7 linked regions of the Coturnix japonica genome follow. The protein of the gene in region 1 interacts with the protein of each later gene in a pairwise test. Links are inferred from orthologs where the notes say so. Each region holds a gene or a part of one and is shown on either strand. Other genes may lie near its edges.

The links.
Region 2: the proteins of LMO4 (region 1) and KIAA1958 interact in binary tests that used the Homo sapiens proteins (3 or more experiments, as listed by UniProt). The two-hybrid records come from large-scale screens. The link is inferred for Coturnix japonica from reciprocal best matches to the Homo sapiens genes LMO4 and KIAA1958.
Region 3: the proteins of LMO4 (region 1) and GOLGA2 interact in binary tests that used the Homo sapiens proteins (3 or more experiments, as listed by UniProt). The two-hybrid records come from large-scale screens. The link is inferred for Coturnix japonica from reciprocal best matches to the Homo sapiens genes LMO4 and GOLGA2.
Region 4: the proteins of LMO4 (region 1) and TFIP11 interact in binary tests that used the Homo sapiens proteins (3 or more experiments, as listed by UniProt). The two-hybrid records come from large-scale screens. The link is inferred for Coturnix japonica from reciprocal best matches to the Homo sapiens genes LMO4 and TFIP11.
Region 5: the proteins of LMO4 (region 1) and SMAD4 interact in binary tests that used the Homo sapiens proteins (3 or more experiments, as listed by UniProt). The link is inferred for Coturnix japonica from reciprocal best matches to the Homo sapiens genes LMO4 and SMAD4.
Region 6: the proteins of LMO4 (region 1) and GRHL2 interact in binary tests that used the Homo sapiens proteins (3 or more experiments, as listed by UniProt). The two-hybrid records come from large-scale screens. The link is inferred for Coturnix japonica from reciprocal best matches to the Homo sapiens genes LMO4 and GRHL2.
Region 7: the proteins of LMO4 (region 1) and TLE family member 5 interact in binary tests that used the Homo sapiens proteins (3 or more experiments, as listed by UniProt). The two-hybrid records come from large-scale screens. The link is inferred for Coturnix japonica from reciprocal best matches to the Homo sapiens genes LMO4 and TLE5.

Annotation. Positions count from the first base shown.
Region 1 is NC_029523.1:13,758,191-13,762,415, forward strand, and holds the start of LMO4 (LIM domain transcription factor LMO4), read right to left. Parts: upstream 2,801-4,225; 5' UTR 1-2,800. UniProt on the Homo sapiens protein: Transcription cofactor. Plays a role in establishing motor neuron identity, in concert with MNX1, acting, at least in part, to disrupt LDB1-LHX3 complexes thereby negatively modulating interneuron genes in motor neurons.
Region 2 is NC_029547.1:58,584,582-58,588,081, forward strand, and holds part of KIAA1958 (uncharacterized protein KIAA1958 homolog), read right to left. Parts: intron 2,314-3,500; coding exon 1,268-2,313; 3' UTR 1,261-1,267; exon of another isoform or gene 839-1,260; 3' UTR 748-838; intron 1-747.
Region 3 is NC_029532.1:3,739,813-3,743,312, reverse strand, and holds part of GOLGA2 (golgin subfamily A member 2), read right to left. Parts: intron 2,218-3,500; coding exon 2,083-2,217; intron 1,503-2,082; coding exon 1,459-1,502; intron 1,328-1,458; coding exon 1,264-1,327; intron 803-1,263; coding exon 743-802; intron 302-742; coding exon 221-301; intron 1-220. UniProt on the Homo sapiens protein: Peripheral membrane component of the cis-Golgi stack that acts as a membrane skeleton that maintains the structure of the Golgi apparatus, and as a vesicle thether that facilitates vesicle fusion to the Golgi membrane.
Region 4 is NC_029530.1:6,260,357-6,263,687, forward strand, and holds the end of TFIP11 (tuftelin-interacting protein 11), read right to left. Parts: intron 3,188-3,331; coding exon 2,944-3,187; intron 2,610-2,943; coding exon 2,467-2,609; intron 2,309-2,466; coding exon 2,143-2,308; intron 1,841-2,142; coding exon 1,485-1,840; 3' UTR 869-1,484; coding exon of another isoform or gene 644-868; 3' UTR 501-643; downstream 1-500. Other genes in the region: SRRD (SRR1-like protein), read left to right, coding at 57-211, 362-407, 644-868. UniProt on the Homo sapiens protein: Involved in pre-mRNA splicing, specifically in spliceosome disassembly during late-stage splicing events. Intron turnover seems to proceed through reactions in two lariat-intron associated complexes termed Intron Large (IL) and Intron Small (IS).
Region 5 is NW_015439872.1:57,673-61,803, reverse strand, and holds the start of SMAD4 (mothers against decapentaplegic homolog 4), read right to left. Parts: upstream 2,801-4,131; 5' UTR 2,763-2,800; coding exon 2,348-2,762; intron 1-2,347. UniProt on the Homo sapiens protein: In muscle physiology, plays a central role in the balance between atrophy and hypertrophy. When recruited by MSTN, promotes atrophy response via phosphorylated SMAD2/4.
Region 6 is NC_029517.1:116,638,307-116,641,806, reverse strand, and holds part of GRHL2 (grainyhead-like protein 2 homolog), read right to left. Parts: intron 2,797-3,500; coding exon 2,685-2,796; intron 1-2,684. UniProt on the Homo sapiens protein: Transcription factor playing an important role in primary neurulation and in epithelial development. Binds directly to the consensus DNA sequence 5'-AACCGGTT-3' acting as an activator and repressor on distinct target genes.
Region 7 is NC_029543.1:645,298-649,247, forward strand, and holds the start of TLE family member 5, read right to left. Parts: upstream 2,801-3,950; 5' UTR 2,575-2,800; coding exon 2,548-2,574; intron 2,335-2,547; coding exon 2,237-2,334; intron 850-2,236; coding exon 786-849; intron 151-785; coding exon 106-150; intron 1-105. UniProt on the Homo sapiens protein: Transcriptional corepressor. Acts as a dominant repressor towards other family members. Inhibits NF-kappa-B-regulated gene expression. May be required for the initiation and maintenance of the differentiated state.

The sequences.
Region 1 (4,225 bases):
ACTGAGAGCATTAAAAGTTTGCTATCCCTCTGAAATGCAATTTCTTACTCTCTCACTAAGCTCTCAGAGTTGAAGGAAAAAAACAGCATATTTTTTCCATTTCTGGAAAAACCCGTCTTTCTCAAAATGCCAGACCACCTCATTAGTGGAAGCCTTGGTTAGCTTATAGATAGCTGGCAGAGGTGTTTTGTTGTGCTTGTTTCCACTTCATTTTTTCCCCCCACCATTATGAGTAAGTAGAAGTAAAAGCACAGTTTTCATTGCCTGTAATGGGAGCAGAATGTGCTTTTATTTCATAGTCATTTTCCATTCTTCTCCTGGCAGTACCTGGAAAATCACGTGAAGAGAGATGCGACTGTGAGGTAACTTGGTGGTGAAGGCTCCAGAAGCCAACACTAAATGCAGATAACATATTTTTGACTAACAGTGCACATTTACAGCCTCTGACCAGAAATTAAAGAGTACTGTTATATGGAGAAGTCATTAACTGATATTTAAAGCTGGGAAATAGAGGAAGTATGAGGAAACCGAAAATGTAAGGCCTATATTTAACATCTCTTAACTTCAAACTGACCAACTAATGGGGCAAAGCCTTGAAGTTCATTTATAGTGGAAGAAATGAACATGAGACCTACGTGATTAATGCATCTTCTCCTTGAATGTAAGGCTTACGTTAGAAGAAAGCCATGCTGCTTTTGCAGTGTTTCAGAACTGCTGAAGCCAGATCATGTCCTCTCCAGATTCTGGATTAACCAAGGTTCAGACTATACAGCAGAACAGGTCCACAAAAACTTCAAGGCTTTTTTACCAACAGATTTAACTTGTGTCATGGTTAGAAACAGAGTTCATAACTAGTTAGGCTTGAATAGTTATCACAGGTAATGATGCATGGGAAGGAAAACATGCAGTGCTGGGAACATAATTTTCAGGGTCAACTTCAGAAAGCCATACAGTTTTATCTATAGAATCAGCAGAGAAGCAAGCATGCAGCCTGGCATATAAAGGTCATATTGAAGCCACTCTTCAGACATCTCCCTAGCTGGGTGTTGCTGAGCCTGGAGCTGAGCTGTGGCTTCTGCAGCCACCGGCAGGAATAGGGTGCTCTGCCTCCAGGCGGGGCCCACACAACTCTGGCAGATGCCAAGGGAGCAGAAGGCATTGACACCAGCACAAGGGTCCTCAAGATCTTCCAAGAACGAAGGCAGAGAGAGTAAAATAGAAGTAGCTGAGAGATGATACAGCTGCTTTGCAGAGTACAGCCACAACAGGAGCTGTAATCAGAGAGAAAACAGCGTGCCTGTCTGAAATGCTATTTCTGCTTTATTGTGTAAATACAGGAACTATGACTTCATGTCTCACACTTCAAGAGACATACTCTCAGGCTTGTTTTCTTCCATATCTGAGCTCTAAGACATGCAAAATGTGTCTCTGTATTTCAGTTCTGGCTGGAGGTTAATCTCTAGAAACAAGTAATGTAACATTTCCATCTATCTTTTCTATTCTTTTGGCGGTTTTAATTACACTAATATACTATGACACTTTAAACAAGACACATCTCAGCTTATGGCCTGCTCTGCAATGGTTCAGCTGCTGTGTGTGCTCCAGCACATTTTGCTCAGACAGGCTGCTGCAGGCTGGGGGTGCAGAATAGTGCCCTTCTGTCATGAGAGATTTCATTGCACTGATCATTGTGTATTTGACAGACTCTTTGTCAATGTCAAGTGTCTTTTGTGGTTAAGCCCAGTAAAGCTAAAACAAAAGGTCTCCTAGATATTAGATATATAGTGACATTACTGAATTCACTCGGAGGCAGTAATTTTTTGTCAGCCTCTGAAAAGAAAAATGGAGCTAATGGGAAAACAAAAGGAAGATGCTGGCATGTCTTTTTAGCTATTTTTGTTTATGTCAGACAGTGTGATTGACATCTGGCCCAGAACACCCTTTCAACCACCGAGGCTGATGTCATGAAACAGAACAAAGAGAAACTGCCAGGCAAGAAAACACTAATGGCTCAGAAAGCACTTTTTTGGGTTTATTTTCTTTTAAGTGTTTCATTTTCAGTAATCAGTATCACTGCACAAAAGTGCACTCATAGGCACCCCCTCTTACTATTTGGACTTCTAAGTTTCCTTTGTGTTTGCTTTCTTCCTTCTTGCCTGAATGGCACCACAGTTCTGGTTTGGTTGGTTGACAGTCTGTCATAACAGTGATGTTTGAGGTTAGTGAAAACTGACATGAAAAATACAATCCACTGGCCTTTAACTGAAATAGCAGCTCTGTTTTTTTGTGGAGTTGGCAGGCAGCATTTTTAAACCCCTTTCACGGTGAAGGCAGTTACAACATGTTTTTCTCTGTATCAAGCAGTTCCATCATGAAGTGCATTATCTACATCTGTTGTCATATCAGGATACTGCCTTTGAAGAGCAGTTTACTGTTTCTTGTGAGATCACTTCTGCTGAAGCACCCTAAGAGGGTTAAGGAAATTTCATGGTCATTCTCCATTGCCAGGCCCATTACAACGCTTTAACATTTATTTAAGAGAGTTTTAGAAGTGTCAGTGACCAGAACAGCTCCTGCAGACACACAACACCACAGAGACTTCTGCATTTGCTCGCCACTTTGTCAAAATAGGAAGAATCCCAGTGTCCCTCTAATATTGTCTAGAGTCATTATATACATTATAAGCATAATGTTCGCATTCTGCAAGTGCTGTAGATTTTGATGTACTTAGTCAGCGTTATGTGCTAGCAGGAGGAAATTATTCTCTAAATTTTTAACTTTGTCTTGAAAGTATGATGCTAAACATAAACCAAATGACTACGAAAAAAAAAAAAAAGCAACAATAAAACATAAAAGAAAGCTTTTGGCAAGACAAGAGCAGGACATTTTATCAGCTATTTAGGTACAGTTACATTCTGAAATCATTGGAGAATTCTTAACAAAAGAGATCTTAATCACTTTAAAAGATTCCAAGGAATTTGGCCTTTGAATGCATCAGGTGTGCTGCAGCTAAATATCCCTGCACCTTTTTAATAGGGTTTACTCCAGTATTTAATGCAGAGCTATATTCTCCTCTAGAAGCACACACTTAACTCCCCCCAGCACTAATAACAGATATGTTCACACATCGAGTGGAGAATTTTCTCTCTGTCTTTGCACAGTGTTCTAAAAAGAACTTTGAAGAAATTGAGAAAAACAGAAAGAGAAGTATATTAATTTTAAGGAGATGAAAGCACCACATGTCATTCCTAAATTTCATGGAAAATGCTCCGTTAGTAACAAAGATGAGCAGAAAATTTCAAAATCATTTTGAGCAGCATTAAAATCAGTCCTCCCTGATTTTCTGTTTTCCCCTTCTTTTCAAAGCACATACATTAAACTCATTTTATGCTTATAATGTATATAATGATTCCAGACAACATGAGAAGGACATTGGGATTCTTCCTATTTCGACGTATAAAGTGGCAAGCCAATTTATGCAGCTTAAACCATTGCTAAGGAAGATGTATCAAAAAATGCCTGTGATCATTACAAATAACAGCCTGAAATGTTCACAAGAAGCTGTTTGCTTATCATATTTTCATTAAAACATCTTTTCACCTGCTTTGCTTTTCCCATGCCTGTAACCTGCATTGTAATCAGTCTTATTAACTGAGAACATAAATATGATTTATTATAGTCTGATAATGGAAGCTGCATGGACCAAGAGAAGGGATATATTGTCCTTTGATAAAATGGCTCTTTTCTCTCAAATAGAGCTCTATCATGAGAGCATGCAGAATGTAGTGAGTGATTATTTCCTGAGGGTGAATGATGGCAGAACCCTACAGAAAATCTTCTTGTTGGCCATGACAGCCTCCGAGTGTCCCCAAATCTCACTGAGTTTGACAACCTGCAGACACTTTTGATGAACTGTATTCTTCTGTCAGAGACAGCCTGTCTGGGAGGAGAAAAGGGAACCTTTATCGTCTGATCTGCTATTATTGTCTTGATCTTTTATAAGCAATCTCTAATGCACATGAATATAATATCCTTTCACACAAGTGCCAAACATAATAGAAATGTAGTTTAAGGACCTTTTTCCCAGTTATGTAAATGTCCTAGTGCCATAATTATAAAAGATGGTTTGTGAATGATAGCTGTAAGGAAAGGATAATGAAAATGTTTTAACATTATCTTTCTGTTTTAAAGACCAAAACCTGTGATAAATAGCATTTATGGTACA
Region 2 (3,500 bases), on another chromosome or scaffold:
ACACTGAATCTGTTAGTGTTTTCCCCATACACATAGAACAATTATGCTACAAAGTCAAATCTTGGAACAATAGTATTCATTATTTCAAGTCTTTAGAGGACCAAATTCTGCCTTAAAAATCACTCACATGATTTCCATTGTCTGCAATGAAAACAGATTACACGTAGGTGATTTTGATTTGTTTTCCAGTGCTTAAAACTACTCATCTTTTTAATCTTCTGTAGAAAATAAAAAACTATCTTTGTGCTCCCTATGGTTTTTGTTTGTTTGTTTGTTTGCTTTTTTGCGTATTTCAAATAATGGCTTAGGACAGATTTGATGCATTTTATCTGGATGGTCTGGGATAAGATAATGGATTTTTCTGCACACCTACATCCCCAAGAATACTGAAAGAGTGGATCAAAGTCAGTAGATTTTATATTAAGTACACACGGTGACAAAACACCAATGACCGGTGCTTAAACAGTTAAAACTGTGTATACCACTGATTTTGCCAACATACCCTTGCTTACTGTTGAAAACAATACTTTTTAGTCTAAAGATCAGTGATGCTTTGATCACAGAAAATCAACAAAAAAGTTAAAAAAAGTCTTTTGCTGACTTCAGGATTTCCTTTTCCCTCTGGCATAAATACTCCTCAGTAAACAAACAAACAAACTGCAACAAAAAACAACGCCCCCCTCTCCCCCCCAACCCAACCAACCAAACAAACAAAAAAACTTCTTGTAAATGGTTTCACAGACTTACATTGATGCATCTCTTATCTCCTTGTATTTCTGATCAAGAACAAGCCAGCAGGTAAGAAGCAGCAGCCAGTGGTAGGTTTGCCTCCTCCACTCTAGGAGGCCATGTTAAAATAAGAAGTGAAAAAAAAATGCTTTAAAACAGAATTGCTACGTAAGCCTCACTGGGGAATTACAGTCACTGATGTGTGCATGTTAAAAAGGGTATTTCCAGTCTATCTTGTGTTGCCTGAGAACCATTTTTGTCCTTTTAAAATCTACAATTATATTATAACCCATATGCAACTTTCATTTTTGTATTAACACTATAAATACTATGTTAGTATTACTAAACTATCTCTATTGACTTATCTGTAAAAAGAAAAATATATTATAGATTTATATATTTTTATAAAGTGAATTAACACTGGAAAGAGGGCTGTGGGAGAGTAGTGTACAATCACAGTTGATGTGTATTACTGGGCACAAACTCAACACTTGCAACAAAACAGAAGAGAAAAATCTGTCCAGGTTATACCCCTCTTTCAAGCTGTGTCAGAGGAAGAGTCATAGGATGCTGACACTATGAAGTTGCCAGTATTGGTATGGCTTGCCATGGACTGGGCAGCCTGCTGGCTCAAGTTATTGCAGATCAGCACAAGCTGGTTGCTCTGAGCTTCTGACAATGTGCTACAGCTCTGGTAGACACTGAAGTTGGTCTTCCTACCAGGGATGTTGCCCTTCTCACACATTGTCTTTACCATCTTGGCAAGCTTATTTTTCCCCAGAGCTTGGCAATTGTACCAGTGAAGGGCGGCCAGGTTGACGACAGGTTTGATTGACAGGTAAAAAGGTGCATCCTCATAGCGCATGGCCGGAGGCCGCCTCTGGGCATACTCCTTGTAGTCTTGCACAGGACAGGTCTGTGGGGAGTGCTGGGTGGCATACACCCGAGAGTCTGTCCCACCTCTCTTGCTCTTGGCACTGATATCTCCATTGTCCGGTCCCATCCACTCCAGGTACTCCAACCCAGTCTCTGTCACCCGCAGTCGGATGTCTCCCCATTTGAGGGTGGACCCATGAAAACCTGTGCAGTGTCCAAATGCCTTAGTGTTGTTTAGCCAGACAAGGTTCAAGAGCCCTTCGGGATTGTACCGGCTCAACAAGCCTCTTTTGCGCAAGATAAGCTCATCAGCAAAGGTGAGCTTCATGGACTTGTGTGGCTTGTTTCCTTTACCTTTACACCTCAGCTCTATCTGCTTTTGTTTTAGGGCTTCTTGGGACCTCTTGAACTCCTTATCCCTGGTAATACTGTATCCGTACCTGTGCTCCTTCAGATAACGCTCCAGCCCACACTGATAGTTAGCCAGACTGTTTGGCTCATATTCAGACCCATCCTTCTGCCTGGCATCCACAAAGAATGAAGCAAGGTAGGCATCGAGCTCTTTGCAGGGGATAACGTAGATCTCCCGGGTCTCAGAGGGATACTTGGAGATGAGGAACTCCCGGAAATTGCGGAGAGCTGTCTGTGTGCTGCGAATGGTCTTCTCGTTCTGCTCCCTGCTGAGCTCTGCTGCTCTCTCATCCTGGTCTGGAAGAGGGAGAAGGAAAAGGACAAAACAAAGCAGAAAGAGCAGTGAGCTTGTGTGAAAGGTTTTTCCCAAAGAAAATTGCCTTTAAAAGCATGAACAAACAGAAATGAGAATGAATTTCACAGAGAACACTTGAAACCATCATTACATACTTGCCACAAAACTGAAAAATCAACTTCAGTTCTACAAATGACGTAGCTAGAATGCGGCACAAAGTGAACTCCTTACGGCACTGGGACACAACTTTGTGCACAGAGATCAGTGGAAAGTAGTTTAATTAGAGGCAAACTGCTTTCCAGAACAAATGCAAGGTGTTTCAGCAGACTCTGGTGCCACATGCTGAGCCCCATCTGAGTAATGAGCCCATTGCGAACTGACTCATTTGTGAAACAAGGGGCTGTACTCATTCTGACATATTTTTCTATGAAGAATCACCAAAGCCTTAAATTTGTGATATTATAATTACCTTTAATTAGACACTTTTCTAAGGAGCCAATAAATATAGATAGAAATGCACACTACAAAATAATGCAGCACATCCTAAGAAAGGAGTTAGCAGGTACAACCCAGTGATGTGTAATTTACAAACATACAAGAATAAAAGCTAATGCAATACTTTACATTAGAAAATATCAAATAAAACTGTCAGCACTTAACACGATTATACAGTTCCTCTATATAATCAAGCCATACTCTGACAGAAGAAGCACAATCCTGAGTATTTTTTCTCATTTTGCAGGAAAAAAAAAAAATCAAATTCAGGAAACAACTTTATATTGTTCCATAAAACTATATTCAAAGGTCATTGCAATCAGTGACATATCAAACCACAGCTTCCAGATGCGACTCAAAAGATGGTTCTTAATGACAAACAATTTTCAGGCTGGTCATCAGCATAAAGGGAAAAGCTTTTTACATGGAAGTGAAGAATGTACTTAAGGACTGTTTTCTTGGCATGTGGAAGCTGTCTTTACAAGGATGCAATTTGTAAGCACACAGGCAGAACTGTCATTATGGATAAGATAAGCCTTAATGGTTTTAGAAAATGATGAGCAGTATGTGTAAAGAAGGAAAATTCCAATGATTTGACTATTTTCTGCACTTGTAAATGGAACATTCCTTTTCTCTCAGTTATCAAGAAGAGGGAAAACGGAAAGTTCTCTTTTGCTCTGTCTGTCTAATTGCA
Region 3 (3,500 bases), on another chromosome or scaffold:
AACTGTGCTTCTTGTTCTCAGATGAGCCAATGCATCCATCAGTGACCTGAGACTTTGATCTTCCTAACAAATGTCCCATACAGCCCATTTTGTTCCACTCAGAGTGCCATGAAAGCAGCCTTCCTTGTGGTATAAGTGAACCCGTAACCTTGCAGACACCCAGAGAGCATGGAGGAGCAGCAGAGACAATATCAAACTGGTTGGTTGGATCGTTTCTTACCAATTCCTCTATCTTTGTAATGAGCTGTTTGTTAGTTAGATTGCTGGAATCTAGGGCTACTGCCAGCTCCTGGTAACGTGTCTGATGGGCACATGCAGGCAGGAGAAGAAGGAAGGGGTAGAAAAGGAGGAGGGGAGGAAAAAAAAAGCAATAATTAAAAAGGACAGAAAAATAAATCATTATCACACTTTAATTAAATCAGATTTCCCAAATCAATCTACAGATCCAACAAGAGCAGCTGGGACATTAACTTCTTTGTACTTTCTGCTGTGGCATTTTTTGACATCAAAGTGAATCAAAACTAAGAGCTGCACTGAGGCCAAACGATCCCCAGCCCCCCAGAAATAGCTCAGCTATATTGGAAATACCCGCTCCTGCTGATCACAACTACCTGAGTGCAGCAGAAGGCAACAGTGGACAACAGTGTACGTGAACTGTGTGTTCAGTCAGGTCTCATTAGCACAGTCCCAACGAATGACTTAGACTGGAAAATAAGAAAATCGTAGGCTCAGGACAACTTACTTCCATTTCCTTAATATTAGTGGAAGAAACACCACTTTCCCCATTCACATACGACGTAGACTAGAAGAAAAATAGTCAAGTCAGTCAGTTTTATTCCCCCAGGCAATAAATCACTATCAAGTAAGAACTATCAGAATGCTTCTTATAGCACATTTCACTTCCAAGTACCTCAGACAGCCACAGAAAAAACACTTCCCTGGCTAAGGATAGATGCAGGCTGCCCCTGTGGCAAGCTGAATTATGCAGATTGACTTCAGATTCTTTGCCACTAAATGAAGAGTACATCTTGCCATGAATACATGCTGTTCGTTCACCCACTCTGCTCTTCTTCCTACTGCTGGAATTTTAACATTCCTAAAGCTGGGAGTTCAGCTTCTCAATGCTTCAATGTCTCATTGTTTAATAGGATGACCACAGGCATCTCTGACACCGAAGAGTGTTTTCTTAAGCTGGCTGCTTAAAGATCCTCATCAGACCCCCCCAAAAATTATTAAGACAGATGGACCAAAATGAGGCTGTACCTGAGAAACCAGGCCATTGAGTTGCTCAGACAGCTGGCGGAGGCTTTCTGTTGATGACAGAGACCTGGGAACAAAGACAGACCTCACAGTGAACATTCCTCCAAGAGAACTGATCCAGTCAGTAAAGCAGCGGGGAGCACTGAAGCTTTTATTTGTTGGACACTTTGGGCTCCTGCTGCAAACTCAAACACTCACCTGTTCTCATCCAAAGCGTTTTTACGATCCTCAGCTTCATGAATCTGCAGATTAAAACAAAAGTTTACAAGCCTGTAAGAAAAGCTGGGAATCATGTTTGTGAATGTGTCCTAAGGCCTGACTGCATCTGGGCTCGGGTTCCACAGCACCTGTAATTACTGCTTCCCAAAGAGAGATCTACTTCAGAAACCAGCTCATTTCCCAGCTTGCCCATAATTTCTGAGCACCGAGTGCCCAGGTTTCTTGGGATTAAGAGGCTTAAATGTTACTGGCTTTGTATTTGCTGCTACCATTTATCAGCATAATCAGCTGTGCATTGCTGGAAAAACTTCAATGGAATCTTTAAGCAGTGAAAGGAATTGCAGATTGCTCCAGCTAGCTGCAGACCTTCTGTATTATTAAGGGTGCTTTCTGCTAATTAAATAGGGGAGAAGGGAAAGAGAATCGGAGCTTTAGAAGCAGCAGGGCATGCTAGCATCCTCCACTCTCAAACAGATGACGATTAGATGGAGAGTGGAGAACGTGGTATATTTAACAGGAGACAATGTGAGCTAGTTATGGGGATTGCCCTTCTCAGACAAAGATGGCTAATCAGTGTGGAGATATTGATGATGACTCACAAACCTGTGTCAGCTGCGTGCTCCCAGGAGCAGGCAGGACAGAAGCACAGCTAGGCAGGCTGTTGCTGTTAGATAGCACGGGGACATCGGCAGCAAGCTGGTCAGCATTACGAGTGGCAACATCACTGTCAAAGTACGCCTGTCACAAAACACACCACAGGAATTACAGCCTACGTGCAAAACGAAGGAAACACACACGGACACATCACCTTGCGACAGGCCTGCGAGAAACAGGTGAACAAATGGAGAAACACGTGGAAGTGAATCTATGTCCTCCCCAGAGCAAACGGGTGACTGCATGAACCCATAGCCAAGAGTCATCCCAGCCCTATGTCCTGCTAGATCCAGTCTGAAGAACCGTCCTATCATCACAATCATTTCTCTAATGAGAGGTGACAGCATCTCCCTATTCTAAGCTCACACTGTGGATTTTCTACAAAGGATTTGTCAAGAAGTGAGCAAGGGGCAAAGGCAGATGGCATCACTGCTGTGTACAGCACTGCCCTTCGCATGGCTGGGGAAAACACTGATCACTGGGGTGCAAATTAAGGTGGGGAAGAACAGGCGAATGATTGCTCGACAACCAGGTTAGTCAAACTCCAACAGCAAGCTATGAACCAGATGTTTATGAACAGGACATTTGGGAACAGGCCAAAATGAGCCCGGCTGGAAACAGGTGCCCACAGCCCTGGCAAAGCCAGGAATCCCACAGCTACAGGAATCCAAATAGAAAAGGGCTAAAAACTATTCCTGGACAGTGATGAAGGCTCTCATCCGGCATTCGTGGGAGGATAAGTAACAGCTGACAACACCTCCACCAAGCCATGCTGAAATGGACAATTCCAGCCATCCTGTCCAGCAATGCAGTGAGCCATACAAACCCAGAGCAGCGTTCTGCTGGTTTATGGCAAGTAGTTTTATACCTCTGATAAACCATCATTTCATGACATTACAAAGCAAACAATAGTCCTCCTGCAGCCAGCACCCCAGCAATGCACTGCAGCTCTCTGCAAACCCATCTGAAAGAGCTCCCTTTTATTTCAGTCACTTCATTCTTGGCAGTCTGCGTGAAATAAGAACTCTCTGGGCATTCCCTATTTACCTGCTTTACTTCATTCATGAATCAAGCAGCCACGGGGTTACAGCAGTAGAGAAGATGGATTTAATGAGAGTAATGAGCTGGAAAACTGCAGAGGGGAACGAATGGAACTGCCTCCATTGTTTTTCTGGAGGACAGACATGTGTGCTCTCAAGGAATGACACATTTTAGGGGCTCCAAGGAAAGTCAGGAACTCCCTTGCTTCTTTCACGTACAGGTTACTTGGCCTCTGTTTGTCCAAGCTCTCATAAACTTGGAACATCGCATGGACATCTCAAAAACACGGCCTGCATTTGTTCTGATTGGAACATTCTTTTCACTTA
Region 4 (3,331 bases), on another chromosome or scaffold:
CTAACCCCATGTTACCAAGCTGTGTCCACACTGTGACCATACTATCCCCCCACCAGGAGGGAAAGCACAGTATAAATGGGTCTCCCACGCTGTTCTATATGGTGCACTGCGGCAAAGCATTGTACAACAACCTGCTGTGGAAGAACTGGTCTGTTGGCGCCCTGTCCAACATGGTCATCATTGGCAACAGCTTTAAGGGCATCGAGGAGAGGTAGGTACAGCCCTACAACCCATTTCCAACATTGCTGTCCACTCCTTGCTTTCTTTCTGTCACAGCTGCAGCCTCTTCTTCCCTTTTCCATTGAGAAAAGTTGTTTTCATGGCAATTTCATGGTCCTAATTTACCTCTTCTTTTTTATAGGCTGCCATCAAGAGTATTGGAGAGAGATTACACTTACATTGCAAAGGTAAGAAGCACCTTTTAAACACAACACCACTATTTGCATTTACCCAGCACCTTATTGTGAGAAGCAACATTAATCACAACTTTAAAGCTGAAGGTGGTTGTTTTTAAAGCCTTGGGACCATTTTATTATCTTCAGAACACGTTGCAAAGAGGGGCACAGTTAACACAACACTCCCATCTTTCACATAAACTTGCACAGAAGTTCTTTTGCTCTGTGTTTTTCCAAATGCTCTTTAGGTTTTAAAAGGGGTGGAGGAAGTTGCCCTCCCTGCTCATCCGCGGTACTTGGATACCTTTAACGACACCTCCATCCACTGGTTCCCTGCATATAAACTGGAGAGACTCTCAGCTGAAGCTTGGGAGTTCCTGGAGGAGCCGACTTATGAGGAATGTGATGACTTGGAGATCATCAGGAAGGGGGAGGAAGGGAGCCAGCACAGCCCTGCTCCAGTGCAGGCCTAAGTTCTGCCTCTTCCCTCGGTCCTCCTGCACAGCCAAGGTGACACTCAAGCACTGACAGCACTGCTGCCAAAAGCAGCACCTGAACACTGAGCTAGATGGGACATTTTTGTATCATAGTGATTTTTTAATAAAAGTAAAAGCTCCACTTTGACTTACACTCACTGTATGGGAAACTGGTCATCACAGCCTGAACCTCTGATTAAGCAGCTGAGGCAAGTGTCGGGTTAGCTGTGGGAGTACACCATTGAGACAGTAATTACCACTGCCAGGGCACTGCCGCTGTCAAGTAGAGCTGCAAAATCTGTTGGTGGAGCGTTTGAGGCTGATCTACTGTTGGCCCTGCCCTCACTTGTTTAGTGGTTTGAGACAATTATTGCTGAATCTGTATCACAAGTGGCCATTACACAAGCATTGGAACTGCTTGCTCCTCCCCCTTCCTCCCTTTGCATTAGCTTCTACGTATCATTTCACCTCTTGACACTGTTGCAACAGCCAAGAAAACAATCCTGGCATCCAGCTGCAGTTCCACTGTTTGCAAATCTGTAACGTCTTTATTCTAAGACGGTTACATGGAAAAACATTACTAAGATCACCTTCACAGTTTCAAGCAGGAGCCTCACTTGGCCATGTCAATGAGACTCTGGAGAGAGGTTGGCACCCAGGTCTTTTCTCCTTGTACAAATACAACACCTCTGTCAATGTAAATCACAATCCGTCCAAACGTATATAACTGTTTCCCTTCGTGTCGCTTTCCGATCACGGGCATGAAAACAATGTTGTGTTCCTCTGCTTTCGTCTGAATTAGGTCCTTAAAATTCATTGGCACAGAGCTGGCTGCCATGCCTATGCCTCGTTGAGCCATGTTCTCGGCCTCTCGCCGTTCCTGCATGGCTTCATACTGAAAGTCTTTCCTCCTTTCTGTGTGAGTAAGGTATGCAATGTTCTCCCGGGCACCTGGCTGCATGTAGCCACCTGTTGGGGAGAAAAAAGTGTGAAAATCACATGTAAGGTTTATGTGGGGAAGCTCCAGTCCAAGATGCATACAGTGCTAGATTCAGCGAGGCTGAGCTGTAGTGTTCAGAATCATCCTCCATACATTTACATTGCTTGCATTCACAGTGTTACTGTTAATACAAAGACTACATAGATGAATCAGAGAGCTGTAGCTAAAGATACAGGACCTGATGTAGTCCCAAACTAAATCTGAGCATGCACAGGAAAAAATGCTACACTGACAAAGGTCCAGAGTGAATACATCACAATAAGCCACCTACCAACACTGGAAGAGACAGCCCGGTTCATGATATCAAGAGCTTCATTGAATTTGTCTTTGATGGATGGATGTGCCAACACTTGGTCTGAGAACATGGACTTCCAGCCCAAGTACCACTTTGTGATCTCTTCGTAATTGGGGCTATTACTAAGCCAAGAGCACAGCACCTGCAAAACAACATGAACAAATTCAACAGGATAGGTACATTCAGGGAAGTAAATTAGCTTGTTTATGACTCAGCGGAGCAACAATTATTAGGTCAGAGTTACTGAAACACTTCACTTGGAATCACAACTGTCAGAAACAATTCAGCCCTGTTCCTCACCTGCAGCCATTTTGGGAAGAAGTGTTTCTCCAGCAACCCAACAAGACTGGAGACAGAAATCATTCCTTCCCAGTCAATCACCCAGTAGAAGGCATCCATGTGCTGCTGATGAGGGTTTATGATGAGTTCATTCAAACACATCCCTGGAAAGAGGAGAAGAACAGTTAAAGGAGTACCTGACTTACCAGTGCCCCAACCCATCTCACAATGAGGTATATGTGATTATTGCACCGTATTACTTCCAGAATCTTTAAAATGTTTGGCTGATCCCTGCCACCAAAACAGTGCAATTCCATTTCCCTCAATTACAATTTACAGCCAAAACTGAGAAACTTAAGACATTCAGCTTTTTTCCTTCTTTTCTGGATCAGAGCCTTACAGCCAGATTGCACGGCTAAATGAAGATTGCACGGCAAATCTCATAGTGAAAGCATTCACATTAGCAAAAGAATTAAAAATGCCTCTCCGTTGTCTCACCAAGTTTAGGCACAATGTTTTTGACCATGAAAGCCTCCCATGACCCGGGTGTGAACACATCCTTCCACGGCTGAAGGATAAGTTTGGCTGAGGAGTCACTGGGATGCCATTTCTGCAGCGCGTTCGCCAGCTTGTTTCTGATGGGAGAATAAAGTGGTTCCAATCGTGCCTGCATCAGGGGAAGCCAGGGATGGATCCAGGAATGGATTGGGACTGTGTCTGTCAAAGGATTCCAGTTTTCAACCTTAAGGCAAAACACAAAAGAGGTTTAATTTTCTATTGGCACAAAGTCTTCCCAGATGCAGATAACCCCCTAAACCCAAAATACACTGACAAAGGCAACAAGCTGGTATTGCGGAAGCTGCAGTTGATTACAATTCAAACAGTG
Region 5 (4,131 bases), on another chromosome or scaffold:
ATAGGATCCAATAGGACTCTATAGGACCCAATAGGAACCAATGGGGCTCCATAGGAATCAATAGGACCCCATAGAACTCAATAGGACCCCATAGAAACCAATAGGACTCCATAGAACTCAATAGGACCCCATAGGAATCAATAGGACCCCATAGGATCTAATAGGATCCCATAGGATCCAATAGGACCCCATAGGATTCAATAGGACCCCATAGAACTCAATAGGACCCCATAGGATCTAATAGGACCCCAATAGGACCCCATAGGATCTAATGGGACCCCATAGAACTCAATAGGACCCAATAGGACCCCATAGGATCCCAATAGGACCCTATAGGACCCCATAGACCCCATAAGACCCCATAGGACCCCATAGAACTCAATAGGATCCCATAGGAACCAATAGGACCCCATAGGACCCCATAGGATCCCAATAACACCCTAATAGGACCCCATAGAACTCAATAGGACCCCATAGAACCCAATAGGACCCCATAGGATCCCAATACGACCCCATAGGACCCCATAGACCCCATAGGACCCCATAGGATCTAATAGGACCCCATAGGATCTAATAGGACCCCATAGACCCCATAAGACCTCATTGGACCCCATAGGAACCCATAGAACCCAATAGGACCCATTATAAACCCCGTAGTCCCTTACGCAAATTGCGTAACTCCTCCCCATTATAAACCCCTATTCCCTTACGTCAATTGCGTAACCCGACTCCCACTTACGCAAGCTCCGTATCTCCCCCCCATTATAACTACCGCACTCCCTTACGCAAATTGCGTAACCTGAGCCCTCACTTACGCAAATTGCGTAACTCCCCCCATTCTTTCCTATGGCCTCCCTTACGCAATTTACGTATCTCCCCCCATTAAATCATAGGACCCTATAGAACTCAATAGGACCCCATAGGACCCTATAGGACCCCAATACGACCCGATAGGACCCCATAGGACCCCAATACGACCCCATAGGACCCCATAGGACCCCATAGGACCCCATAGAATCCCATAGGATCCAATGGGACCCCAATGATACGGGTTGACACACACACTGTCACACTTGAGATCGAACGCGTACTGACAATACTTGACGTGCTTCAACCCCATAGACCCCATAGGACCCCATAGGATGCAATGGGACTCCATAGGACCCCATAGAAATCAATAGGACCCCATAGAAACCAATAGGACTCCATAGAACTCAATAGGACCCCATAGGAATCAATAGGACCCCATAGGATCTAATAGGATCCCAATACGACTCAATAGGACCCTATAGGACCCCATAGAACTCAATAGGACCCTATAGGATCTAATAGGACCCCAATAGGAACCCCATAGACCCCAATAGGACCCTATAGGAACCCAATGGGAATCAATAGGACCCCATAGAGCCCCATAGGACCCCATAGAGCCCCATAGGACCCCATAGGATCTAATAGGACTCCATAGAACTCAATAGGACCCCAATAGGACCCCATAGGAACCCATAGAACTCAATAGGACCCTATAGGATCTAATAGGACCCCATACACCCCAATAAGACCCCATAGAAACCAATAGGACCCCATAGGAATCAATAGGACCCCATAGGAATCAATAGGACCCCATAGAAACCAATAGGACCCCATAGAACTCAATAGGACCCCATAGAACCCCATAGAACCCCATAGGACCCCATAGGACCCCACAGACTCCATAAGACCCCAATAGGACACCATAGGACCCTATAGGACCCCATAGGATCTAATAGGACCCCATAGGACCCCATAGGACCCCATAGACCCCAATAGAACCCCAATAGGACCCCATAGGCCCTAATAGGACCCCATAGAGCCCCATAGAACCCAATAGGACCCCATAGAACTCAATAGGACCCCATAGAACTCAATAGGACCCCATAGAACTCAATAGGACTCCATAGAAGCCCCTTACGCAGTTTGCGTAACTCCCCCCCCATTAACCACCATAGTCCCTTACGCAAACTACGTAACTTCCCTTACGCAACCTCCGTAACTCCCATTATCGAACCCCCCGCCCTTACGCAAACTGCGTAACTCCTCCCATTGGCTCCCTAGTCCCTTACGCAAATTGCGTAACTTCCCCTACGCAAACTCCGTATCTCCCCCATTATTTCCTATGGCCTCCCTTACACAAATTGCGTATCTCCCCCCATTATATCATAGGACCCTGTAGGACCCCATAGGACCCCAATACGACCCCATAGACCCCAATAGGAACCCATAGGACCCAATAGGACCCCATAGACCCCATAGGACCCCATAGGACCCCAATAGGACCCCATAGGACCCCATAGGACCCCATTGTACTCACCGATCCCAGGCGACACCACCCTCTCGTAATGATACGGGTTGACACACACACTGTCACACTTGAGATCAAACGCGTACTGACAATACTTGACGTGCTTCAACTCATTCTTATGCAGGTCGGGCCACCTCCATAACCTCGCATAGATCACATGGGGGAACCCTTTCCTCCCAGCCACCTGCAGCCTCCCGTCTAATGTACGTTGTATAGTCACGCATTTACTCGGGTGAGCCCCGTTGGTCGTAATGGCGGCGATGAGAGAATCCAGCTCGTCTTTCTTCTCCTTCAGCTTCTTAACGAGGCTCTCGATGGCTCGTTTGGCGAAGGTCTCGCTCTCTCCTCCCTGTCTGTGGCACATTAAGCTGTGCACGATGCTCAGACACGCGTCGTTGCTGCTGGGGGGGGTGGAGATGGACATGGCGGACACCGGGAACGATGGAGAGCCCGATGGAGGCCGCTAAGATGGAGGGACGCAGCACATCCGGGTACTTAGGGGGGGTTCCGGGTTGGGAAGCCGCAGTACATCCGGGGATTTGGGAGGGACTTCCGGGTTTGAGTTACATCCGGGGATTTGGAGGGACTTCCGGGTTTGAGGGACATACGGGTACTTAGAGGGACTTCCGGGTTTGAGTTACATCCGGGGACTTCCGGGTTTGGGAACCCGCAGTACATCCGGGGATCTGGGAGGGACTTCCGGGTTTGAGTTACATCCGGGCATTTGGGAGGGACTTCTGCATCCGGGAACTTAGAGGGACTTCCGGGTTTGAGTTACATACGGGTATTTAGAGGGGGCTTTCGGGTTGGGAACCCGCAGTACATCCGGGGATTTGGGAGGGACTTCCGGGTTTGAGTTACATCCGGGGACTTAGAGGGGACTTCCGGGTTGGGAAGCCGCAGTACATCCGGGAACTTGCAGGGACTTCCGGGTTTGAGGGACATCCGGGGACTTACAAGGGACTTCCGGGTTTGAGGGACTTCCGGGTTTGAGTTACATCCGGGGACTTGGAGGGGCTTCCGGGTTTGAGTTACATCCGGGGACTTAGAAGGGACTTCCGGGTTGGACGCCCGCAGTACATCCGGGGACTTAGAGGGGACTTCCGGGTTTGAGTTACATACGGGTACTTAGAGGGGACTTTCGGGTTGGGAGCCCGCAGTACATCCGGGGATCTGGGAGGGACTTCAGGGTTTGAGTTACATCCGGGGACTTACAAGGGACTTCTGGGTTTGAGGGACTTCCGGGTTTGAGTTACATCCGGGGACTTCCGGGTTGGGAACCCGCAGTACATCCGGGGATCTGGGAGGGACTTCCGGGTTTGAGTTACATACGGGTACTTAGAGGGGACTTCCGGGTTTGGGAGTGAGCATGAGTTACATACGGGGATTTAGAGGGGACTTCCGGGTTTGGGAACCCGCAGTACATCCGGGGACTTGCAGGGACTTCCGGGTTTGAGGGACATCCGGGGACTTGGAGGGACTTCCGGGTTTGAGTTACATCCGGGGACTTCCGGGTTGGGAACCCGCAGTACATCCGGGGATCTGGGAGGGACCTCCGGGTTTGAGTGACATCCGGGGACTTGGAGGGACTTCCGGGTTTGAGTTACATCCGGGGACTTCCGGGTTGGGAACCCGCAGTACATCCGGGGATTTGGAGGGACTTCCGGGTTTGAGTTACATACGGGTATCTGGAAGGCACTTCCGGGTTTGGAGGTGCGCATGCGCAACATCCGGGCACTCGCGGCGCGGCCTTAAGAGCCGCCTCCATGTTGCGTGCGCACAACGGGGAGCGG
Region 6 (3,500 bases), on another chromosome or scaffold:
ATCAAAAAGAGCCCCAGACAGTATGCAAAACAAATACAGGAGTAACTCCTGCATGTCCAAAGTGAGGGAATAAACCTCCTTATTGCCTCTGTCTCCAGGGTACACAGAAAGAAGATTAGCAGACCTGCACCACTGAGGAAACAGCACAAGCAGCAGAGTCATTCCTGCCTAAGGACTGAATAGTTGGACTCCAGAACTAGAATATTTCATATTCATCTAATCCTTTTTCTGCTAAGTCATGCTTTGGATGTGAAGCACACTCATAAACAATTAAAATGGACTCGCAGATGTTAAACATATGTTACAAATATTAAGTTAAAATAATATCAATGTTTATAAACTTTGTGAAATAAAGTATACATGTTAATGGCTATTCCCAGATATATAGTTTGAAAGGTGCCTAATAGCTGTGTAACCCTGTGTATCCTGCTGATTAGTGAGAGCTCAAAGAACAGAGAAGTGGGGTTACCAGCAGACATCATCAGGTCATCCTCTGAGGATGAGACAGATCTGATGCACACCCCTGCCCTTAGCAAAACTCCATCAGCGCCCTTTAAATGGTTCCCCAGGGAGTATCCTGCTACTTGCTAATCTTGCTCATGAACACCTAATTCTCTCCGTTACTACACAGGGTGTGGCCATTAATGCACTGATCCTTTACAGAAGCTCTCCTAGTACCTTGGGCTGAATTCTTAACTCAAAAGAAAATCTGCATAGAATGACACAACAATTTAGGCTAGGAGGGACTCTGGAGGTTAGCAGTATCAAGCCTGTCCTCCAAAGCAAAGTCAGTTTAGATCAACCCATAAGACAAAATGGAAGATTTTGCTAAATGGTGCCTGATGCTTATACGGGAGATGCATTTGGGGCCATCATATCCTAACAACATCCACAATTCAGGTCCTAAGGGAAACGAAATGTGCTTTAAAAACAGTGTACGTGGTTAAGTTAAAGCTGGATTTCAGATGTTCTCAAGATGGCAGTACCTGAGCAGCATTCAAGCCTTTCATCTGAAAGAGCTGAAGTGAATAAACTGTGCTCTTACAGTTCTCAGGTCTGACAGAGAGTGCCGAATCAGGAACGCCTACTCCATCGCACTTTGCTCATATTTGCAGTCCAAATAAAGGAAACATGCCACAGTGCCTCAAAAGTCAGCACAGATCTATTTAATCTCAAATTAATGGCAACATAAAAGACATTCGCTTTAACGTGGGTAAACACACAGCTCAGAGCATTGTTTTACAAAATATATATCATAAGCTGAGTTTCTGGGTACGGGGACTGATGTGTGCTGCACACCACAAATGAAACACTGATGTGGCAGTGCCAGAAGGTGTTGGCATAGTAATGGAAGGAGCCCTCTGGCACATCCCTTCAAAGGTATGTGTTAGTACCGTAAGCTTGTAGGGACTAGCACAAAGGCAGCATTCAGAAACAGCTGTGACATGACATATTGGCTCTTTTACTGTGTGTCATGACAGGAGTCATTTGGGCTGGGGTGGAGGTTTCACTGCCTTAAATACCCCCACAGGTAATAAACAGAAGTTGGGGTGATGTGCAGAATCCTTTTTGCTCTTCAGGGGAAACTGTTCAGCCAGAACCATAAGAAGACAAAAGGTAACGAGGAGATGCTGGAATAAGAGACCAGTGGTTTTGACCTGATTTATGTCAACCTCAGTAGAGGATGCAACATTTGAAAGTCAAGAGGCACTGTATGAGCAGGACTGTTCTGGGACCACTTCCCAGTGCAGGAGGCATTTGGTCCCCCATGAAGTCCTACAATACACTCCTGAGTGTTCTCTCCATTTCCCTCCCTCCCCCTGCTCCCTCTCATTCTTGCCATTCAATGGTTTGGTTCCCTCAGGCAGTGAAAACAAGATAGACTTTGTCTGCTTTAGTCTCACCATCTCCTTTGACTGGGATCAGCTGCAGATGGCTGAGAGTGTAAACTGCATGTGGGAGGGGAGAAGTGCTTAATGTCTAGACACTCCCACACATTTCAACTTTAGGCTCCTCTGCAGCAGGTACGTGCTCTTCCTCCATTCAAATCTCCCAAGCACGCAGATAGAGCAGTTCTGATCAAAATGGGCTTGCAAATTAGACAGGATGAACAGTAAACAGGTCTCCCAGTATAGCTCACCAGAGCTCAGCATCTCTCCCTCACTTCTCTCTGACACTGACAAGGCTCAAAAACAGGTGATGCAGTAGTCCTGGGTGCTTATTTGCAGTCACCATAATGATGGCCATCTTAAGACTCAGGTTCCACGTACACAACAGTGAGGTCCTTGCAGCAACACAGACTTGAAAGATTTAGATCTTCCTGGAAGCATCTCTATCAGATTTGCTGACTTAACTGTTATGTGGGCCAGTAGTGGATTGAAGAATGGATCAGTCATAGGGAAGCAAAAGGAAATGCCCTGTGCCTGAAGGCACAGACACCAACTTCCCAGCAAGGGGGAACACTGTTAAAAACATCTGCAGGAAGAAGCTTTATTCCATGACTGCCAAGGACTGTTCATCTGCAAGGTCTCCTTCCCGCTTCATAGATCATACAGTCTTTCCTAGCAGGGACAAGTGACTGCTAAAAGTTTGGTGCAGCCATAGCCAACATATTTCACCACATCCCTGTGAAAGGCACCAGAGAATTCCGCACTGTCCTCTCCAAAACATCCTCTCATACTCACCGATGTCAAGGACCCTCTGCTTCGCTGTGTGCTGCCGGGAATGCCAGTATTTCCAGTACTTCAGCTGCTCGTCTCTGTTTTTATCCTCACTAAAAACAACCATGACCACGCTCTAAGAAAATAAACAGCAGAGGGTGCATTATAGTTAATCTGTAGTTAATAGTCAGAAACACAACAGTTCTAATGATGACTCAGTCCCTGCCCTTCCACAGTGCTTGGATTGTAAAAGATCACTGTTTTTTATTGCAGTCCAGTACTATAATTGCATGGAAAATCTCACAGCTAAAGAAACGTAGTTTTAAAATAATGGTTGTGTTTTTCTGGAGTTCTGGATTACTGGGAGGAAAGGTAGGACATTTTCAAAGGGCAGTTTAGCTGTGTATGGGATACTGGTGACAATGCAATGGAGGAATAAAAACTTCAGAGAGAAGTCTCATTTGGTATCTTTGTGTTTGGGGAGTTAAAAGGAGAAGCTTTCTGTGGGTAACATAATTATGTCCTGACAGAAAAAGGTAGTAGGTAAGTTCCTGCAACAACCAAAACCTCAAGCAAATTTTATTCCACAAAATGTAAGTCTTGGAGCATGACTGGTGACAATGTTGGTGCTTTTCTTCACCTTCTTCCATGAATATACAGTTTTAACATGTCCAAATGTTCCTCTTAGGAGCAAGACTCTTGCATATATGATCGTAATGACAAACTCAGTGTGAATATTTACTGGATTTCACTGAGCTTTTCAGTTCAAGTTCTGAATTCCCTTTGTTTAAAACTATCGTTCAAGGGAAACAGACTGAAACACTATACAGAACTGCACAT
Region 7 (3,950 bases), on another chromosome or scaffold:
CCCAATGCCAGAGCTGGAGATCCCAAAATCAGTGCTGACGTTTGACATCCTGAAATGCCACTGAAGGGACAGAAGGCACAGCAGGCAGCCCACCCCCCCCAATACCTGTTTGTGCATCTCAATATTCAGCCCGTAGGACATCTCGTAGTACTGCGGAGTGGGGAAGAAGAGAACAAACAGACACGATGAGGACTCCAGCATGCAAAGAGACCCCCACATCTGTACCTTCCTGCTGCCCCCAGCCCAGGTGGGACCTCAACTAACCCAGAGCCCACTCAGCACCTTCACAGAGCCCTGGCATCACAGGGAGAGCTCAGTGCTCTGCTGGGAACAGGCACAGCCCGGCTCTGTTTGCTGTGCCTGGCCCATCTCCTAACGCCCACGTGGCTGCTCCGGCAGCAAATGGAAGGGCTCAGCCCTGTGCTCCAGCTGCACACAGCTCCAGCTGCTTGGGAAGGAGCTGCAGGAAACACACACGCAAAATAACCCACCCCCCTCACACAACAGGCAGCTCCAGTGCAAGCTATTGGCACGGGAAGTCAATTCCTGAGCACTCCAAGTTTGCTCAAGCAGCAGAGCAGCTCTGCACACAGACAGCAGCTCCCTGCTCACACCCTGCATGTCCATCCTGCACCCACCGACCCAGCACACACACAGGGTGCAGAGCACGAGGAGCTCTGTTTGTTTGCACGAGGAGCCCTGTGTGCACGAGGAGCCCCGTTTGCACGAGCCCAGCAGCAGCAGCACCTGCTCCCCACCCACGCGCTGCCCCGGCAGCTCCTCACCATGACGTAGTGACGCTGCATCTCCGATTTCTCGCTGGCGAGTTTGTCGCATTCCAACTTCAAGCTGCAAAGGCAGAAAGCAGTGAGAGAAGCAGCAGGGCAGCGGGTTGCATCCTGGGTTGCATCCTGCAGGGTCCATCCCAGCCTGTTGTGTGCCCAGTGCAGCTCAGCAAAGCAACCAGATCCTCCTATACTGGGGAAGCCCAGGTGCAGTGCAGGCCTCTGGAATGATGCCTTTTCCCCCTTTCCTTTGGGTTCTTTGCACCCTTAAGAGCAGACGTGCTGCTCGCTGTGCTCTGTGCAGCTCCCCAGCCCGGCAGCTGCAAGCAGCATGTGCTGGTTTTATGTTTCAAACAAGAAACAGCTTCACCTCCACCAAACCTGCTGCTCTGTGAGCAGATCGGGTCCTGCAAGGGGGGGCCACAATGCTGCACGATGCAGAGCTCGGGGAGGTGGGAGCAATAGGGAAAGGGCAACACACGGAGCAATGGTTTGGTGCATGCGTGCAGCTAGGAAGCAAACAGCAAGAGAGCCCATCGGCAGCCAGCTTTTGGGTCAGCAGAAGCCATTCCGCAGGCGGAAAAGCGGAAGCATTTGGCTTTAAGTGCTCCCTGCAGCATTTGTGAGCCAAGAATGGCAGCCAGCAGGGAGAGGGGAGGAAAACTCCCAGCGAGAGGAGGGAGGGCTGGAAGAGCTGCACATGGATGGAGGGATGGAAGAGCTGCACATGGATGGAGGGATGAAAGAGCAGCACATGGATGGAGGGATGGAAGAGCTGCACAGGGATGGAGGGATGGAAGAGCTGCACAGGGATGGAGGGATGGAAGAGCAGCACATGGATGGAGGGATGGAAGAGCTGCACAGGGATGGAGGGATGGAAGAGCTGTGCATGGATGGAGGGATGGAAGAGCTGCACAGGGATGGAGGGATGGAAGAGCTGTGCATGGATGGAGGGATGGAAGAGCTGTGCATGGATGGAGGGATGGAAGAGCTGTGCATGGAGTCCTGCATTGGGGTAAGACCTGGCTGTGGGGGAGGCAGAGCGTTCTCCTTCCTTCTCCTTCCAGAATCCCACCTTTTGGGCAGTGAGCAGAGCGTTCCCTGCCTGGATTGCAGCTTTTGGCCAACTCTGGGCCGAACTGCGTGGCCAAAGGAAAGGAAGGCAGCAATGGGTGCACACCGGGCGTCCCCCCCCCCTCCTTGGGATGCTCACATCGGTCCTCCAGGTGGGACCTGGAGGTGATACCGGCCTGGGGAGGCTGAGCCTGGGGGTAAACCTGTGCTGGGCTGGGAGGGCAGCGCGTCGTGCCGCACGGAGCCCATCTCTTGGCCACGCTGCGTCCCGGTCCGTGCAGGGCAGCGATGCCAAAGCGGAGGATCCCAGCTCCGGGCGCACTGCGGACCCCCCCGGGATGCTCGGGGCGGTCGGTGGGGGCGGTACCGGCACGTACCTGTGATACTGGGCCTGCAGGAGCTGGAACTCGTCCTTGATGCGGTCGCACGAGTCGGAGGTGGTGAACTTGAGCTGCTGCGGCAGGTGAGAGGAGCCCTTGAACAACACACACAGCGCTGCACACCCAATGGGGGGCCCGCAGCCCTGCCCGCCCCCCCACCGCAGCCCGCCGCCGCCCAAGGTCACCCGCACCCCCCGCTCCGGTTCCCGGTGGCTGCGGGCGGGCAGGGGGCGGCTCTCGGTGCTCCCCCCCGTCCTTCCCTCCTTCCTTCCTTCCTTCCTTCCTCGCTCCTCCCGGTGCCGCCGTACCGAGTGTCGGCTTTGTGGAAACATCATGTCAGGCTGCAGCCCGTTCCACCGCCCGCAGCGGTCCCCTCGCCCCGCTCCGCTCCGCTCCGCTCCGCTCCGCTCCGTTCCGTTCTTTCCCCGTCCGCCTTTGTCCGCGCCGGGCCCGGCCCCGCGGCCGCCCCGCGCCGCTGTGCCCCGAGCCGCCGCCTATTGTCTAATGGCGGCTGCGATCCGCTCCGTCCTGCGGCTGCTCGGCACCACCTGCCGCCCCGCCGCCGCCTCCCCGGGCCGGGCGGGCCCACGGCCGTCTCCGCCCCCGCCGCGATCCGGGCGGTGCGGGGCGCTCAGCTGCTCCCCCCCCCCCCAATTCCCCCCCCCCCCCCCCCCTCGCCCCCCCCCCCCCCCCCCGGGATCGGGGGGGGGGGGGGCGCCCAGCTGCCCCCCCCCCCCCAATTCCTTCCTACCCCCCCCAGCCGTGATGCTCTGCCCCCCCCACGCCCACCCATCCCGACCCGGTGCCGCTCAGACCCCGCTCCGTGGGACCCTCCGTGGGTCTGGGGTCTGCGCTGTGTCCCAGAGCCCCGCACCTGCTGCGGGCATCGTGGGTGCGAGAAGGGCTTAGAGTGGGGTCGGCCTTAAAGGGCATCCAGTTCTCCCCATCACCATATTGCTATCAGGCAGGTAAAAGTCACTCCCCCTCCTCCCTGTAAGCCCCCTCCCCAAGTACTGGAGGGCTGCAGTGAGGTCTCCCCGGAGCCTCCATGGCTGCTCCATCAGCACGTTTCCATAGCAGAGGATCTTTGGTGCTCAGAGCTCAGAGCATCCCACAGCCTGATCCCAGACCTGGATGCATCACTGCAGGTGGGTCCCCACAAGGGCTGAGCAGACGGGACAGTCCCCTCCCTGCCCTCTGCCCCCCCATAGTTGCAGCGCAGGGGGGTCTGTAGGACCACCACGACCACAGATCCCAAGCTATGACCATCCAACCACTTCCTTACCCACCAAACAGCCCACCCTTCAAACCCACCTCTCTCCTATTGAGAGAAATGGGCACAGTGTGGGGCCGTGCAAAGGCCCTGCACAACTGCAGCCTGTGCCCTTCCTTTGTCCACCAATGCCATCAATGGAGGCCACCAGATGGGCCAGACACGTCTGCCCTTGGCGTTCCTTGTTCACCTATTGCTTATGGTTCTTGATGTGATGCTGCAGGAGCTGAGCACCCCAGCAGTGTGGAGCTCACCATCACAATTTGGGGCTCACTATCACAGTACAGGACTCACCATTGCAATATGGGGCTCACCATTGCATTATGGGGCTCACCATCACATTGCATGCCCCAGTATCACAGTGCAAGGCTCACCATCACAGTGCAGACCCCACCATTGCAATGCAGGGCTCAGTTTTTGACTTGCAATGCCCACAGC